Linked DNA regions of Pelodiscus sinensis. The protein of the gene in region 1 purifies or fractionates together with the protein of each later gene. This does not show direct contact. Links are inferred from orthologs where the notes say so. Each region holds a gene or a part of one and is shown on either strand. Other genes may lie near its edges.

Region 1 (7,735 bases):
GCTACACAAATTAAGCTATGTCAATTGCGTAGCTTATTTTGAAATTGAAATTGGGAGCATCTACACAGCACTTATTTTGAAATAGAGCACGACTTCCCTTACTCCTCATACAATGAGGGTTACGGGGGTTGGAGTAAGACGTCCTCAGGTTGACAGTATTTTGACATTGTTTTAAAGGAACTGCCTGCTGTGTAGACGCAGACTACGTTATTTTGAAATAATGTTGCTATGCAGATGTGCCCTTGGAGATATTTACTGTTGGCAGTTGTAGATCGGCTACCATGCCATTGTAGAAAGCCTCATCACACCATCCCCTCTGTAAATTTATCAAGTTCAGTCTTGAAGTTCATTAGGGTTTTTGCTCTCACTACTCCTCTTGAAAGGCTTTCCCGGAACTTACTCCTCTGACAGCTACAAACTATCTGATTTCAAGCCTAAACTTGTTGATGGACAGTTTATATCCATTTATTCGTGTGTCCGTATTGGTGCTTAATTTAAATAACTCTTCTTCCTCCCTGGTATTTATCCCTCTGATGTATTTTTAGAAAGCAATCATATCTCCTCTCAATCTTCTTTTGGTTAGGCTAAACAAGCCAAGCTCTTTGAGTCTCCCCTCATAAAATAGGTATTCCAGTCCTCTGATCATCCTAGTAGTCCTTTTCTGCACCTGTCCCAGTTTGAATGCATCTTTCTTAGACATGGGAGACCAGAATAGCGCACATATGTTATATTGCACTCAACGTTATATTGTGTATCTATGTTATATTGCACTCAGTGTTCTATCCTGCTGTGTATTGCATCTTTGAGAGCCACTGCCTTCTTGATTCTTTAGCAGAAGCAAGAATTATTGGTTTTCCTATATCTGGGGCCGGATTTTGAACCACTTAAGTCCATAAGAGCTTTGCCATTGATTTAGAAGAGGAGCAGGGTCAGACCCCTGAGAACAATCTCCAGCTCTTGATGTCATATAGAACAATACCCTTGATTAATTAACACAGACACACAAATCCTCAAGTCTTAGCATTTAAGATGGACAAATGGCTTTCTTACTTAGTTGTGTGAGATCAAGCTGGAATCGTGAGCTGGACATAGATCCTCTGACAATTTAAGGAGACTTTGATCTTATAACATCTATCAACAAAATAACTGAGCACACTATTCTTGTGCATGCCAATAAAGTTTAGGTTGAGTGGAATACCTTATGATTTTCTAATAAGAAAGATTTTGTTCAGAAATAAACAGCACCAGAAAGCAGGGTGAAATCTAATAAATCTGCTAGCCCTGGTCTATACTAAGCAGTTATATTGGAAAAAAATATTTTGAAATAATAAGCAGAATGTCCACACTACCAACCCTGTTATTTTGAAACAACAGGCTGGTCGTTTCGAAATCTGTTCTCTTGCTTTCCTTGGGAAATAGGCTTATATAGAAATAGTTATTTCTGGAATTATTATTTTGAATTTAGTTATTTTGAAATAATTTCCTAGTGTAGACATGCCCCTAGATAAGTGAATTAGACCTGAATCAGGAAGACGTGTGTTCAGCTCCTGCTGAGCACAAGTCAACCTGGGTGTAGGAGGTGGCTTTCATGGTTTAGTATCAAAGTTAGGTATAGCCTCGGAGAAGAGAACCTGGAAAAAAAGATACTAAGGACGCTCCTACTTTACCTCTGTTTTAAACTCAAATTGCCTGACTATCTGCACATAAATCAGAATGGTGGTGCATTACATTCTTTGTATATTGTTACAAATGGTCATACATTATTAGGGCAACAGAGGATCAGACTCAACATGGAACAAGATCATCTGATTTATACTTTTGTGGGTCAGATACTTGACTGCTATAACTCAGCATTGCTACGTTTTTGCACCAATTGAGGATTTGGTCCATGTAATTCCACTGTGTGATTGTTCCTGATTTGCATCAACTGGAGAGAAGACTCAAGTGTGCATGTAAACTTTTGAAAATTAGATGACGCTTCCAAACATATCATGCCAACCTTACTCTCTTTTCCTTTCCAACTCCCCACTCCCATTTTTTTATTCTTACCTCGTGCCAGATGAATTGACCTTTCTATATCACACCTGTCACTTTTCAGTGCCTGAGTCTACTTTTCTAGATGCAGCACTTTGTCTGTGACTGACAAGAGGCTTTCTATCTGTTGCAGGATGGATTTTCTGCTTCTCTTTCCCTAAGTTGCTGGCATTTTGTGTTCTTTTCTCTTCATTCTATCTACACCTTTTATGTTTTCCTGCAGTCTTTTTCCTTGCTCCACTGTTTCTGTTTCCCCTCTTCTAAATCACTGTTTTCCTTAAATAACTGAAGGTTTCTAGAATCTACAAATGGAAGATCTTCTGTTTTCATATTAACTCACTTTCTAATTTGTTTAATTCAAAATGTTGAAAAAAAGTCAGAGTTCACAAAGCGAATCTGACCCTCAAATGTCCACAGGCAAGAGTTTAATTCTCTACATATTTTGTAAGATGCAGTAAAGTATATTTTCATGTTTTGATAATGTATTTGAAATTGCTTAAAATTCTTGGTGTATATTCAAACTTTCTCAGTAAAAACCACCCAATCCTTTAATATCGATATGCATTTGTTTTCTCAGTTTTGTACAGTATGTCAAGTTAGATGGCTCTTGTCTTGAATCAAAAATGAATCTATTTGGCTCTTGTCACCATAGTATCTGAGCACTTCACAATCATTTATGTATTTATTTAAATATTCTCAGTAAGGCAGTAGTCCCCCAGCCCCAGCCCCTCTGCTGAGCCCCCTCCCCCCCACAGGGAGGGGAGAAGGCAGGGCAGCATACATGTGCCCACAAGGAGGGGAAGAGATGCTAGGGGTGCATGGGGGTGCCCCAACCTCACCGGACCCTGGAGCACTGGGGAGGGAGGAGGTTGCATTGCATCTCGTGGCTCCCATCTCCCCAGCTCTTGGAGCATTGGGGGAGGAAGGAGGTTGCGCGTTGCAGCTCTTGGAGCACGGTGGGAGGGAGGAGGCTGCATGACGGAGCACGGTGGGAGGGAGGAGGCTGTGTGGTTCCAGGCTCCCTGGCCAGGAGCACGGGGAGGGTGGGCGCTAGGGGCAGCAACACTCCACCCCAGAACATTTACAGCAGGTGCTCTGGGGGCAGAGTGTGGGTGAGGCTGTGCCTTGCGGTCTGGGAAGGCAAAGCCTTCCCCCACCTAGGCTACCGGATGCCTATGAAGCTAAGGCTCAGATTCTGGGGATATAAAATTGCAGGGAAGAGGTGGGGCAAGGGTGTTTGGTTTTGTTGGATTAGAAAATGGGCAACCTTACCTCTAACTGCCACCATTCTACAAATGAATAAAGACTTTACTAAGGCCAGTTTTATTCTCATGTGTCAATGAACAGAATAAAGCTGGTTCCATTTTCACACACAGTTTCAAATACAGATTTGCCAGGGCAATAACTTGCAATCCAGGTACGATTTTTTTTAATCAAATTGTACATATTCTAACCTTGTGGTAGCTTGTGTCTTTGTATTTGTGGGCCAGTCTTTGGCATTCTTTATTAATGCCAAAAGAGTGAGTATCCCTTAGATATCTGATTGTGAAAGAAAATCTCCAGGGACCAGGACTAGGGATGTTAAATATCGGTTAATTGAATAGTTGATTAACCTTATGAATTCTTACTGATTATTCGATTATCCTATAGTCCCCGGGGGTAGGGCTGGCAGCCAGTGCACTCTGGCTCCACTCCTGAGGAACCCCTTGCCACTCCATGCTATTGCCTCTGTATCAGAGGCAGCAGCGTGGGGTGCCAGTCAGGAGCTGGTTTAAAAACCAGCTTCCCTTGCAGACCGGCTGCCTGTAGCCCTGGGCTGCCCCCTCTGACACAGAGGCAGCACCCCCTGTCCTGGGGTGGGAGGCAGGGCTAAATTCCTGGACCTCGCCCACCTAGCTCCTAATACACTTTAAATGCAGAACCATAGCAGGAGTAGGTCCTGGATCTGCTAAAAAGTATACTGGCAAGAAGTGGGAGGGAAACGTCTCTAGTCTATAGCATATGCGCTTTGCTTATGGTTATGTGACTACACTATTACATCCCTAACCAGGACTGGAAGAATTCTAGTGCTCAGTCAGTGCCAGTGTTTTTCAAACAGCTTGAGAGTGGGATCAAGCAGAACGAGCTGAATTTATGCAGAAACTCCCCCGTTAATCAGTTGCAGCAGCTCAGGGTGTAGGTGCTGCTGACACGAGGTGTTCCTTGAAACACGACAACCCCTCCTAAGGACGCTACAGTTCCTGCCATTCCTTAGCAGGCTTGGCTCTTCGGACAAAGCCCGGGCAACGCTCCACCTGCCCGGCGCGCTGATGCAGCCCCTGTGCCGCGCGCCGCGGAGCGATGGGGCATGGCGTGGAGCTCAGGCGGGCGCCCTGCGTGGCGCCCGCGGCACGGGCTGGTCCGGGGCCCCGGGAGATGCCCAGGGGGCGGGGGCGGCCCTCGCACGCTGACCTATGGCAGCGAGCAGGTGGCGGCGGCTGTCAGCACGCGGGGAGCCGGCCGGCGGCGCAGGCCCGCGCCCCCCACCGAGCGCACAGGAGCGACCCCGGCGAGGCGCGGGGAGGAGCCTGGGGGCAAGGCAGGGGGAGGGCCGCTCCCCGCCCTTGATTGGCGCAGGGGCTGCATGATGCCACGTCCGGCGGGGGAAGCCCTGCCTTGCCGCGGAGCCTCCCCGCCCTCGCCCTCTTTGCAGGTGGTGCGCGGCTGCAGCCGGCCGGGCTCACTGCTCCTGCCGGGGAGACGCGCGCTCGCCCCGGGCGCTGCAGCCCCCGCCAGCCGCTAGCGCGCCCCTTGGCTGCCGGCCTCCAACTTTGCCCAACCCGCCGGGGCTGGCTATTCGCTGGCAGCGCCCCCCGCGGCGCGTGTTCCCGCCAGCGGGGCTGGCCCGGCTCCCCCCCGGTGGCAGCTGCCCCAGCCCCGCGCGCTCAGCCCAGCGGAGCCGGGACTGGCCCCTTCGCCGCGCTGCTGGCAGTGGCAGCCGCTCCCGGGAGCTCGCCCTGCCCAGTCCCGCGGGCTCGTGCCTGTGGGGTGGGGATTGCGCCCCCGCCCCCGCCGCCTGATTTCCCCGGAGCGGGGCTTGGTCTCGTGAGCAGCGGCCGGGATGCGAGGGGGCCGGCGGGACTGAGCTGCCACCCGCGAGCCAGTGAGCGAGCGCCGGGCGCAGGCGGAGCCGGCGGGGCAGCGGGACCTTGGGCTCGTCCTTCGCGCAGCGGGCTCGGGGGCTCGGCGCGGCAGGAGGATGCATTTCTTCCCGTGGGGATTGTGGCTGCTGTGCGTCGCCGCCGCCCCGGCGCGGGGGGACAGCGGCAGCAAGGCGAGGAGCTGCGCCGAGGTCCGGCTGTTCTACGTGGCCAAAGGGTTCAGCCAGACCGGGGTCCCCCAGGCGGAGATCTCAGGTGAGCCTCCCTCCGCGCCTCGCCCCTGCCCCGGACACCCGGCAGCGCGCTGCAGAGCCGCTCCCGCAGGGGGCAACCTCTGCCCGGAGCCGCTTCGCCGCCGCGCTGCCGCGATACAAAGGGACTCCGCTTTGTCAGCCCGCCGCTGCGGGAAGCTGCGACTCTGGCAGGACGGCGCTCTGTGCGGGATGCAAACCGGGGTGGGGGGCGTTGGGCAGCGGCTCCGGAGGCATTGGGAGGGGATCCCCCTTCTGTACAGCATCCCCGCGTGTCTTCGTCTGTTCCCATCCGATTTCTCGTGAAGGAGCCCACCAATTGCACAGTGATCCATCCAAACAATGGTGTGATTTTCCTAGTCTCGCCTTCCCACGGGACCAGTGCAATAGGTTCCTCGGCAATAAATATCAACTTCAGTCTGTTCTGGAGTGTTGTGGAGAAAAACGATTTCTTGTAGGCTTGTGATTTTTGTTAAGGAGTCAGTCAGTTAGAAGTAAGGGAGTGGTGAAGTCAGACCTTAGATGTCTTCAGGAGGAGGGCATCCCCAGATGTGGCACACCAGCCCTTCTTAGCACTTGCAAAGTCTTCCGATAGACGAGATCTGTCTTGATTTTCTGTGGTGCAAGCATGTTTAAAGGAGATATTAGGTGATTGCTGTCCGGTGTTTTCATTATTGTACAATTACAATGAACTGGAGGATTTGGGTTAGAACTCAGGATCATCAAAATCCTATGGATTTGATTTCAAAGCTAGAAAGTGCCCCATAGTTACAAAAGAGAATAACTTTTGTTTATAATGTTCTGTTGGATGAAAACCAGCTTAAAGGCATTTGTCAGTTAAAAATTTAAGTGTCAAATGATTTTTATCAGGTGTTTGAAACAACCCCAGTCATCTACATCAGAATTGATTTCTGCTATATTAATATTGCATGTGAAATACAAACTAGATGGGGGAGGGTCGTGTCTGTTTTTTGGCAAATAAAGAGGAGTTTTCAGAAAATCTCTGAAACATAAGGAATATTTCAAGGTTTGGTTTATGTTTTTGAAAAATCTGCATTTATTTTTGTTTGTAAAGCTTTGCCGAAGTTCTGATTCACAGACTTGTGACCCATATCTAAGAGCTTTCTTGCTCACTTGTGGGAGCTACTTAGTTCAGACAAAGCATTAAGACATGCAAGTGTACGTGCCAGAGCCAACCTTCAGGGACATCTCAGTTAGATTGCAGTTTGTAGTTCTTTCCTAAGCTGCAGAATTTCTTATGAATACTTCATAATGTAGTTTTATGGGGACATTATTATCATCAGCTGACATACAAATGGAGAAGGCTGAACTTGTTGCCATACAAATGTGAACTTTTTCTTTGTTGAAAGGTGGATATTAAAGTAAAATGGAAGGTTTCAGAAAGTGAAATAGTGGAGAATTTAAAACCTATTTAAATTAAGGGGTTTGGGGAAAAATGGGGGAGGGGATGCAATTAATCCAGCTAAGCAAAAAAAGACCCTTTCCCCTTGGCTACAGATATCCGTAAAGGATTGTTTAAATATCTCATGCTGCTTAAATAGCTCATGCTGCTTATAAAGTCTTCAAGGGCGTAAACATTTTAAGAAACAATATAATGAGGAAGAGTACATGAAACCCTAAATGAAATGAGCTTCAGCATTGGTCATATTTTAGAATTGTGTGATATGCATTGCATAAGATATAAATATCTTGTACCCTCAGGGTCACTGTGTTCAAAACTGTGTTCAAAACTTCTAAAAATGCTGAGGTTGGTAAAGAAATAAGAGGAGACAGATTTCTAGGAACAAGGTTTATTATTTCTAAAGAATTACCAGTATTCACGTTTGCAATCTTAAGCAATAATGTTTGAACTATAGGAACAAATGGTTTACCTCTGACAGTGAAACTGTACAGATAAATATTGTAAAAATTGGTGGAATGAACTGAGACAAATGGGGGAATACTGTCTTCACATGTGAACGTTCTGCTGATAGTGCAGCCAATTGTGTACTTAAAATACAAAATGAGAACGCTTCATGTTCATTGTTGGTGATTGTCACGTGTACTTCTAAATTCTAAGTTCTAAATGTTTAGAAGTTTGAAGCTGTCATCTGTACTCTCTTAATATCTCTAATATATAGATAATGTAGATAAAACGTTTTACTGTGAAAATGTCAATTTTGAGTTGGCCCAGATTGTGTATGGTTCTGGTTTGTTGATTATTTTATACATGGAATGCACATACTGTTTACTTTTTCAGAATAAGGGTGTCTCAAATGGCTTTTTAGTGACAACTGTGTAACCATCCAT
Region 2 (7,486 bases), on another chromosome or scaffold:
CCTCCTTCAACCCTCTGCCCCTCACAGCGCTGCCCCTCCTACAGCCAGGCCCCGCCTCCTTCAGCCCCCAGCAGCCCTACCCCTCCTGCAGCCAGGCCCCACCTCCTTCAGCCCCTCACAGCCCTACCCCTCCTGCAGCCAGGCCCCGCCTCCTTCAGCCCCCTGCCTCTCAGAGCTCCACCCCTCCTACTGCCAGGCCCCACCTCCTTCAGCCCTCTACCCCTCACAGCCCTACCCCTCCTGCAGCCAGGCCCCACCTCCTTCACCCCTCTGCCGCTCACAGCCCTACCCCTCCTGCAGCCAGGCCCGCCTCCTTCAGCCCCCTACCCCTCACAGCCCTGCCCCTTCTGCAGCCAGGCCCCGCCTCCTTCAGCCCCCCCCACAGCCCTGCCCCTCCTGCAGCCAGGTCCCGCCTCCTTTAACCCTCTGCCCCTCCTGCAGCTAGGCCCCACCTCCTTCAGCCCTCTGCCCCTCACAGCCCTACCCCTCCTGCAGCCAGGTCCCGCCTCCTTCAACCCTCTGCCCCTCACAGCCCTGCCCCTCCTACAGCCAGGCCCCGCCTCCTTCAGCCCCCAGCAGCCCTACCCCTCCTGCAGCCAGGCCCCACCTCCTTCAGCCCCTCACAGCCCTACCCCTCCTGCAGCCAGGCCCCGCCTCCTTCAGCCCCCTACCCCTCACAGCCCCGCCCCTTCTGTAGCCAGGCCCCGCCTCCTTCAGCCCCCTACCCCTCACAGCCCCGCCCCTCCTACAGCCAGGCCCCGCCTCCTTCAGCCCCCTACCCCTCACAGCCCCGCCCCTCCTACAGCCAGGCCCCGCCTCCTTCAGCCCCCTGCCCCTCACAGCCCTGCCCCTCCTACAGCCAGGCCCCGCCTCCTTCAGCCCCCTACCCCTCACAGCCCCGCCCCTTCTGCAGCCAGGCCCCGCCTCCTTCAGCCCCCTACCCCTCACAGCCCCGCCCCTTCTGCAGCCAGGCCCCGCCTCCTTCAGCCCCCTACCCCTCACAGCCCCGCCCCTTCTGCAGCCAGGCCCCGCCTCCTTCGGCCCCCTGCCCCTCACAGCCCCGCCCCTCCTGCAGCCAGGCCCCGCCTCCTTCAGCCCCCTACCCCTCACAGCCCCGCCCCTCCTGCAGCCAGGCCCCGCCTCCTTCAGCCCCCTGCCCCTCACAGCCCCGCCCCTCCTGCAGCCAGGCCCCGCCTCCTTCAGCCCCCTGCCCCTCACAGCCCCGCCCCTCCTGCAGCCAGGCCCCGCCTCCTTCGGCCCCCTACCCCTCACAGCCCTGCCCCTTCTGCAGCCAGGCCCCGCCTCCTTCAGCCCCCCCCACAGCCCTGCCCCTCCTGCAGCCAGGCCCCGCCTCCTTCAGCCCCCTGCCCCTCACAGCCCTGCCCCTCCTGCAGCCAGGCCCCGCCTCCTTCAGCCCCCTGCCCCTCACAGCCCTGCCCCTCCTACAGCCAGGCCCCGCCTCCTTCAACCCCCTACCCCTCACAGCCCCGCCCCTCCTGCAGCCAGGCCCCGCCTCCTTCAGCCCCCTGCCCCTCACAGCCCTGCCCCTCCTGCAGCCAGGCCCCGCCTCCTTCAGCCCCCTGCCCCTCACAGCCCTGCCCCTCCTGCAGCCAGGCCCCGCCTCCTTCAGCCCCCTACCCCTCACAGCCCCGCCCCTCCTGCAGCCAGGCCCCGCCTCCTTCAGCCCCCTGCCCCTCACAGCCCCGCCCCTCCTGCAGCCAGGCCCCGCCTCCTTCAGCCCCCTGCCCCTCACAGCCCCGCCCCTCCTGCAGCCAGGCCCCGCCTCCTTCAACCCCCTACCCCTCACAGCCCCGCCCCTCCTGCAGCCAGGCCCCGCCTCCTTCAGCCCCCTGCCCCTCACAGCCCCGCCCCTCCTGCAGCCAGGCCCCGCCTCCTTCAGCCCCCTGCCCCTCACAGCCCCGCCCCTCCTGCAGCCAGGCCCCGCCTCCTTCGGCCCCCTACCCCTCACAGCCCTGCCCCTTCTGCAGCCAGGCCCCGCCTCCTTCAGCCCCCCCCACAGCCCTGCCCCTCCTGCAGCCAGGCCCCGCCTCCTTCAGCCCCCTGCCCCTCACAGCCCTGCCCCTCCTGCAGCCAGGCCCCGCCTCCTTCAGCCCCCTGCCCCTCACAGCCCCGCCCCTCCTGCAGCCAGGCCCCGCCTCCTTCAGCCCCCTGCCCCCCACAGCCCTGCCCCTCCTACAGCCAGGCCCCGCCTCCTTCAACCCCCTACCCCTCACAGCCCCGCCCCTCCTGCAGCCAGGCCCCGCCTCCTTCAGCCCCCTGCCCCTCACAGCCCCGCCCCTCCTGCAGCCAGGCCCCGCCTCCTTCAGCCCCCTGCCCCTCACAGCCCCGCCCCTTCTGCAGCCAGGCCCCGCCTCCTTCAACCCCCTGCCCCTCACAGCCCTGCCCCTCCTGCAGCCAGGCCCCGCCTCCTTCAGCCCCCTGCCCCTCACAGCCCCGCCCCTTCTGCAGCCAGGCCCCGCCTCCTTCAACCCCCTGCCCCTCACAGCCCTGCCCCTCCTGCAGCCAGGCCCCGCCTCCTTCAGCCCCCTGCCCCTCACAGCCCCGCCCCTCCTGCAGCCAGGCCCCGCCTCCTTCAGCCCCCTGCCCCTCACAGCCCCGCCCCTCCTGCAGCCAGGCCCCGCCTCCTTCAACCCCCTACCCCTCACAGCCCCGCCCCTCCTGCAGCCAGGCCCCGCCTCCTTCAGCCCCCTGCCCCTCACAGCCCCGCCCCTCCTGCAGCCAGGCCCCGCCTCCTTCAGCCCCCTGCCCCTCACAGCCCTGCCCCTCCTGCAGCCAGGCCCCGCCTCCTTCAGCCCCCCCCCCACGTAGTCCCCCGTCCCCGGCAGCGCCTCCCCCTCCAGCCACCTGCAGCGATCCCCTCCCCCACGCGGGGCGGGGCGGGGCCACGCGCCAGGGACCCGCAGGGCTCGCGCCGCGGCCGTTACCGTCGCTACGCGGTGGCGGCCCCGCTCGCTGCCCTGGGCGGTGCCTGCCTCAGGAAAGCCCCCGCCGGCCCTGCCGTAGCTGCCCTCGCCGGTGCCTGAAGGCAGCCCGCCCCGCGCCGCGCCTGGGCTGGGCGAGCCAATCAGGCAGCGCCGCGGGCAGCCCTGGGGGGTGCGAAGGCCCCGCGCCTCAAGGACCCGCCCCGCCGCCGCTTCGACCTCCCCGAGCAAGATGGCGGCCGCGGTGCGCGCGATCGGGAGCCTCACGCGCTTCACGGCCGCCGCCAAGTACTGCGCGGCCCGCCGCCTCGGTGAGGGGCTGGGCCGGGGGGGGGGGCGCGCTGCCGAGCCCCGCCCCGCCCCGGCTCGCCGTGCTGCGCTCCCCGCCGAGTGCCTGTCTGGGGCCGCCGGCCGGGCGGGGCTGGCAGCAGGAGCCCGGGGAGCTCAGCGCGGGGCCTGGCCACACGCAGCAGCCCGGCCCGCCAGCAGTCGGGTCACAGGGGTTCTGGCTCTGCCGCGGCCCTGGCTCCCGGCTCCCGGACCCCGGCCCCCCCGGCCCCCCCGGCTCCCGGCCCCCCCGGCTCCCCCGGCTCCCGGCCCCCCCGGCTCCCGGCCACCCTGGCCCCCCCGGCCCCCAGCATCCCCGGCCGCCCCGGCCCCCCCGGCTCCCGGCCCCCCCGGCCACCCCGGCCCCCCCGGCCCCCGGCCACCCTGGCTCCCGGCCGCCCCGGCCACCCTGGCCCCCAGCCACCCTGGCTCCCGGCACACGCCTGCTGCGGCAACAAGCTCTCCCCAGGCGGCTATCCCACCTCCCCCAAACCCCTGGCCTGGGGCTCTCAGGTTGTGCTGCTGCTCCCTGTTCATTTCCCGGGGCGGGTGATGAATGTTAGTGACTAGCGGAGATCATTTGCAGTTAATGGATTTGATGCGGGAAGGTGGCTGTGGCAGTGTGCTCGTAGAGCTCTCCCAGTGCTCTAGATGAACAGCCTCTATGCTTGGGGCATAGTTCCCAGTGCTGGGAGCCTGTTTACACCCACACTTCACAGCGCTGTAACTTGCTGTGCTCGGGAGATGCTTTGTCACACCCCTGAACAAGAAAGTTACAGCTCAGTGACCTGACAGCCTGGTAGCACAGCAGTATAGACAAGCCGTTAGTCTGACTGCTTTCAGTCAAGTCACAGGAATGATTTGACATCTGATCAGAGTTTGTTGGTTTGTGGAATTAAGTGGGCTCTTAATTCAGTGACCCAGTCCTTCTCCTGCAGTTGTCATTCGTCTGGTCCTTTCTTTTTCTGCTCAGCAGAGGTGCCCCAGGCACTGAGCTCCCCATATTCCTGCGGTGAGGGTTTCCTTCTGCGAATGCACAGCTAGAGAGCTGGGTTCTCCTCTGAATTTACACTTGTAACTGTCAGAATGATACACGATTGTACACACCATGGTAAGAACATAAGAATGGCTGTACTGGGTCAGACCAAAGGTCCATCTAGCCCACTAGCCTGGTGTCTGTAGTTCCTTGTTTTCAGGATTCGCACTAGGGATATAATAGTGCAGTTGATTAACTGATTATCTGATAAGCAAAAGCTTATAAGTTAATGCCATAGACTACACGCATTTCCTTCCCCTCACCAGGCAGGGGCTGCTGCCACCCTGCGCTGTTGCCTCTGTATCAGAGGCAGGAACACAGGGCGACAGGCTGGTTTTTAAACTGGCTCTCCTCGTGGACCGGCTCCCCCCGACACCCCACGTAGAGTGGCAGGGGGACTCCTCAGGAGTGGGGCTGAAGTGCACTGGCTTCCAGCCCTGCCCCCTAGGGACTCTAGAATAGTCGGCTAACTGATAAGGATTCATGAGGTTACTCAACTATTCAATTAACCAATATTGAACACCCTCACTTTGGCTGACAGTGCCCTCCCTTGAAAGTATGTGTTGGTTGGACCCCCAGTTCCTCAGAGTTGATAGCAGTCTGCCTGGAATAGTCTTTTGTTCTTCATGCCCCTGAATCAGTGTTTGGCAAACTTTGGGGTGGTTTTTTTGCGGGGGGGATGGGCAAGTACTTGCAGTGGCAGGGCAAAAACTGAGGCCAAGAGCAGCGCATATGAGGAAAGTTCCATGGTTTTGGGGCCACCCCTGTTGCACACATTCCCACAGCTGCTAGTAAAACAGGCACCGATTGAAAGTCTGTCTTGCACCACTTGCAGCTCCTTGTTCAGCTCACAGGTGTAGGGAGGAAACATGGGCCATCCCAAGCATTTCTTTTCTGCTCCCTTGATGTTCAGCTTAGTTCCAGATCACGAGCCCTGGCACTACGGAGCCACCTATGGATGCTGCTGTTCCCACCTCAAGCAGCATGCAGTCTCCTGGTGAGTCAGGGAGCAGGGAGAGGAGCACAGAAAGAGACCAAGAGTGGAGAAAATGGGGCAGCTGTGTCATGGTGTGGGGGAGTGTCCTCCCTCGGCACACCAGCCAACATTGGGAGCCGCTCCCCTCAGCGAAAGTTCTGTGAGCTAAACACTGGCCTAATAATACTTTGCCCTTATAGTGCTTTCTGCCTAGTGGTTTTCAAGGTGGGCAACTTCCCTGCCTCCATCTCCCATCTATAAACATCCAGTTCTGTTCTGCAAAATAATAGCGCCACATAGTTCCTGTTGATCATTTTACAAGTGAGTGAGTATTTCTTCTGGTCTCTAAGTGCCTAAGTCCAGCTGGGGGTGTTCCTCTGCATTCATTCTCACCAGGAGTAGTTTTGATTAAATTTTGTCTTCAGTAACTCGTGCATCCCCCTTTGTGATGCTTAAATTCATTAATGTCTGTCACATTTTTGGTAACCAATAATGGAAAGCGCTAGAGAAGTGCAAAGTATCACAGAGGCTGTAATCAGTTACCTTCCAAAATTAGTTTATTGTAAAAACAAGCTATTGCAAAACCCAGTGAGTAAATATTTAATTATTCTTTTTTAAAGACTTGAAACAGTTTTTAACCCTTTTCCCCTGCAGTGTTGGAAATCTATTTAAAAGTGGAATTTACTACAATCTATCAACAGAAATGAAACTGACTAATCTCTTTTCATTGCCCTATAAAACATAAGTCATGAACAGTAAATCTCGTTTAAGTCTTTTAGTTCCAGTATAATGGTGAAAACCATAAGGCGGCCTGCTGGTGTTCTGTTTAAAAAGTACGAGAGGGTTTTTTCTGTAATCTTCATTTGTAGAAATTCATGCTGCTAGTTGTACATGATTGGCTCCTGAAAGTAGCAGTGCTATTATTGTAAACTGCCTCTAAGCCACTTTGTATTGTCGCTGTGTTTTGAGCCTGGTTATTGTTTTCCAAGCCTGCTCTGGCCTGTGCAACTTGATAAAGCCAAATTTTCCAGGATAACGTGCATCAAAAGTATGTCACTCCTTTTGCATATTTATTTCTAGGCTGCCAAAACGTTTAAGTGTCTTGGGAGAACAGCAGTGACAAGGTCCCTGACCCAGAGTTGCAATCTAAATAGTGTGCAGGCAGGGGCAGCTCGTGAGCCTAGGCGAGCTAGGCAGCTGCCTAGGGCGCCGCTGGCCCGGGTGTCCGATGATGACATCACGGCCATTGACGGCTGTATAGGCGGGGCGCCAATCGCGCCGCCCCGCCTAGGGCGCCAGCTGCTGCAGTCGGCCTCAGGCCGCTCCTGTGTGCAGGCAAAGGAAGGGGGAGGGTTAGCACGTTTTGTCCCAGGTTATTAGCACCCTTTTTAGCTTTGTGCACGGTTCATCTGTTTTCTTGAAAGTGGTTGTAGAGACCAGGATTTATAGGACTTCCCAGAAAGTCTTTAAGGAGAACTTAAGAAAAAAAAGCTTGTTAGACCATGGAACTTGGGGTGGGGTGTGTGTGTGTGAATGTAGCCCATGAGTTACTTGCATAACTTCATGAAATAAGAGTCTGTATCTTTCAGAAGGTAGGCCTGTTCGGTGAAGTCTGGAGTATTGTTGGCATATGCACAGGGCTCGACGAATCACTGAATCTACTCGCCTGTGGCGAGTAGATTTCAGCCAGTCGCAGCATTCACCGGCGGCGCGCACATGCGCAATGCGGGTCTTGCTCATGCACAGTGCAGGGCTGGCGAGTAGGTTTTGCCGCCGTTTGTCAAGCCCTGCAAATGCAAATCCTTTTTCTACATCTAAAAGCACAGCTGTTAGTGACTTGTGCCGCACTCCCCAGACTTCGCTATACTCTGCCTGTGACTGCAGGGGCGGGCAGAGTTGGGGAAGCTACCAGTGGTGGTCTTGTAATTTAGTCTCAGCTATTCATCTCCTGCACTGTGATGTGCTGTTTTACTCCAAAGGACAAGCTGGATCACCTTATTCCTGGCCTCCAGACTTAATTGCTGCAGCAGTTGCGGGGGTGCTGGCAATGCGAGCACTGTATTTTGTGGTCATCACATGTGGCTGGCTGGCGGCCTGGTGGTTGGAAGCCTAGGCCCTCTGGAGGCCAGACTCGTAGGGCTGTCAAAGATTTCACATGGGGTTTGTAATCCAGGTCTCAAAGTTGGTCGAAAATCCTCTTAAATA

What was found. Proteins that work in one complex are often made in the same cells at the same time.
Region 2: the proteins of GPC1 (region 1) and HADHB purify together in Homo sapiens (co-immunoprecipitation; 3 studies listed by BioGRID and IntAct, counting the BioPlex papers as one, with this or other methods). This does not show direct contact. The link is inferred for Pelodiscus sinensis from reciprocal best matches to the Homo sapiens genes GPC1 and HADHB.

What each region holds. Positions count from the first base shown.
Region 1 is NC_134720.1:8,556,177-8,563,911, reverse strand, and holds the start of GPC1 (glypican-1), read left to right. Parts: upstream 1-4,696; 5' UTR 4,697-5,272; coding exon 5,273-5,429; intron 5,430-7,735. UniProt on the Homo sapiens protein: Cell surface proteoglycan that bears heparan sulfate. Binds, via the heparan sulfate side chains, alpha-4 (V) collagen and participates in Schwann cell myelination.
Region 2 is NW_027465862.1:360,434-367,919, forward strand, and holds the start of HADHB (trifunctional enzyme subunit beta, mitochondrial), read right to left. Parts: upstream 3,073-7,486; 5' UTR 2,946-3,072; exon of another isoform or gene 2,866-2,945; intron 1-2,865. Other genes in the region: HADHA (trifunctional enzyme subunit alpha, mitochondrial), read left to right, coding at 3,175-3,253. UniProt on the Homo sapiens protein: Mitochondrial trifunctional enzyme catalyzes the last three of the four reactions of the mitochondrial beta-oxidation pathway.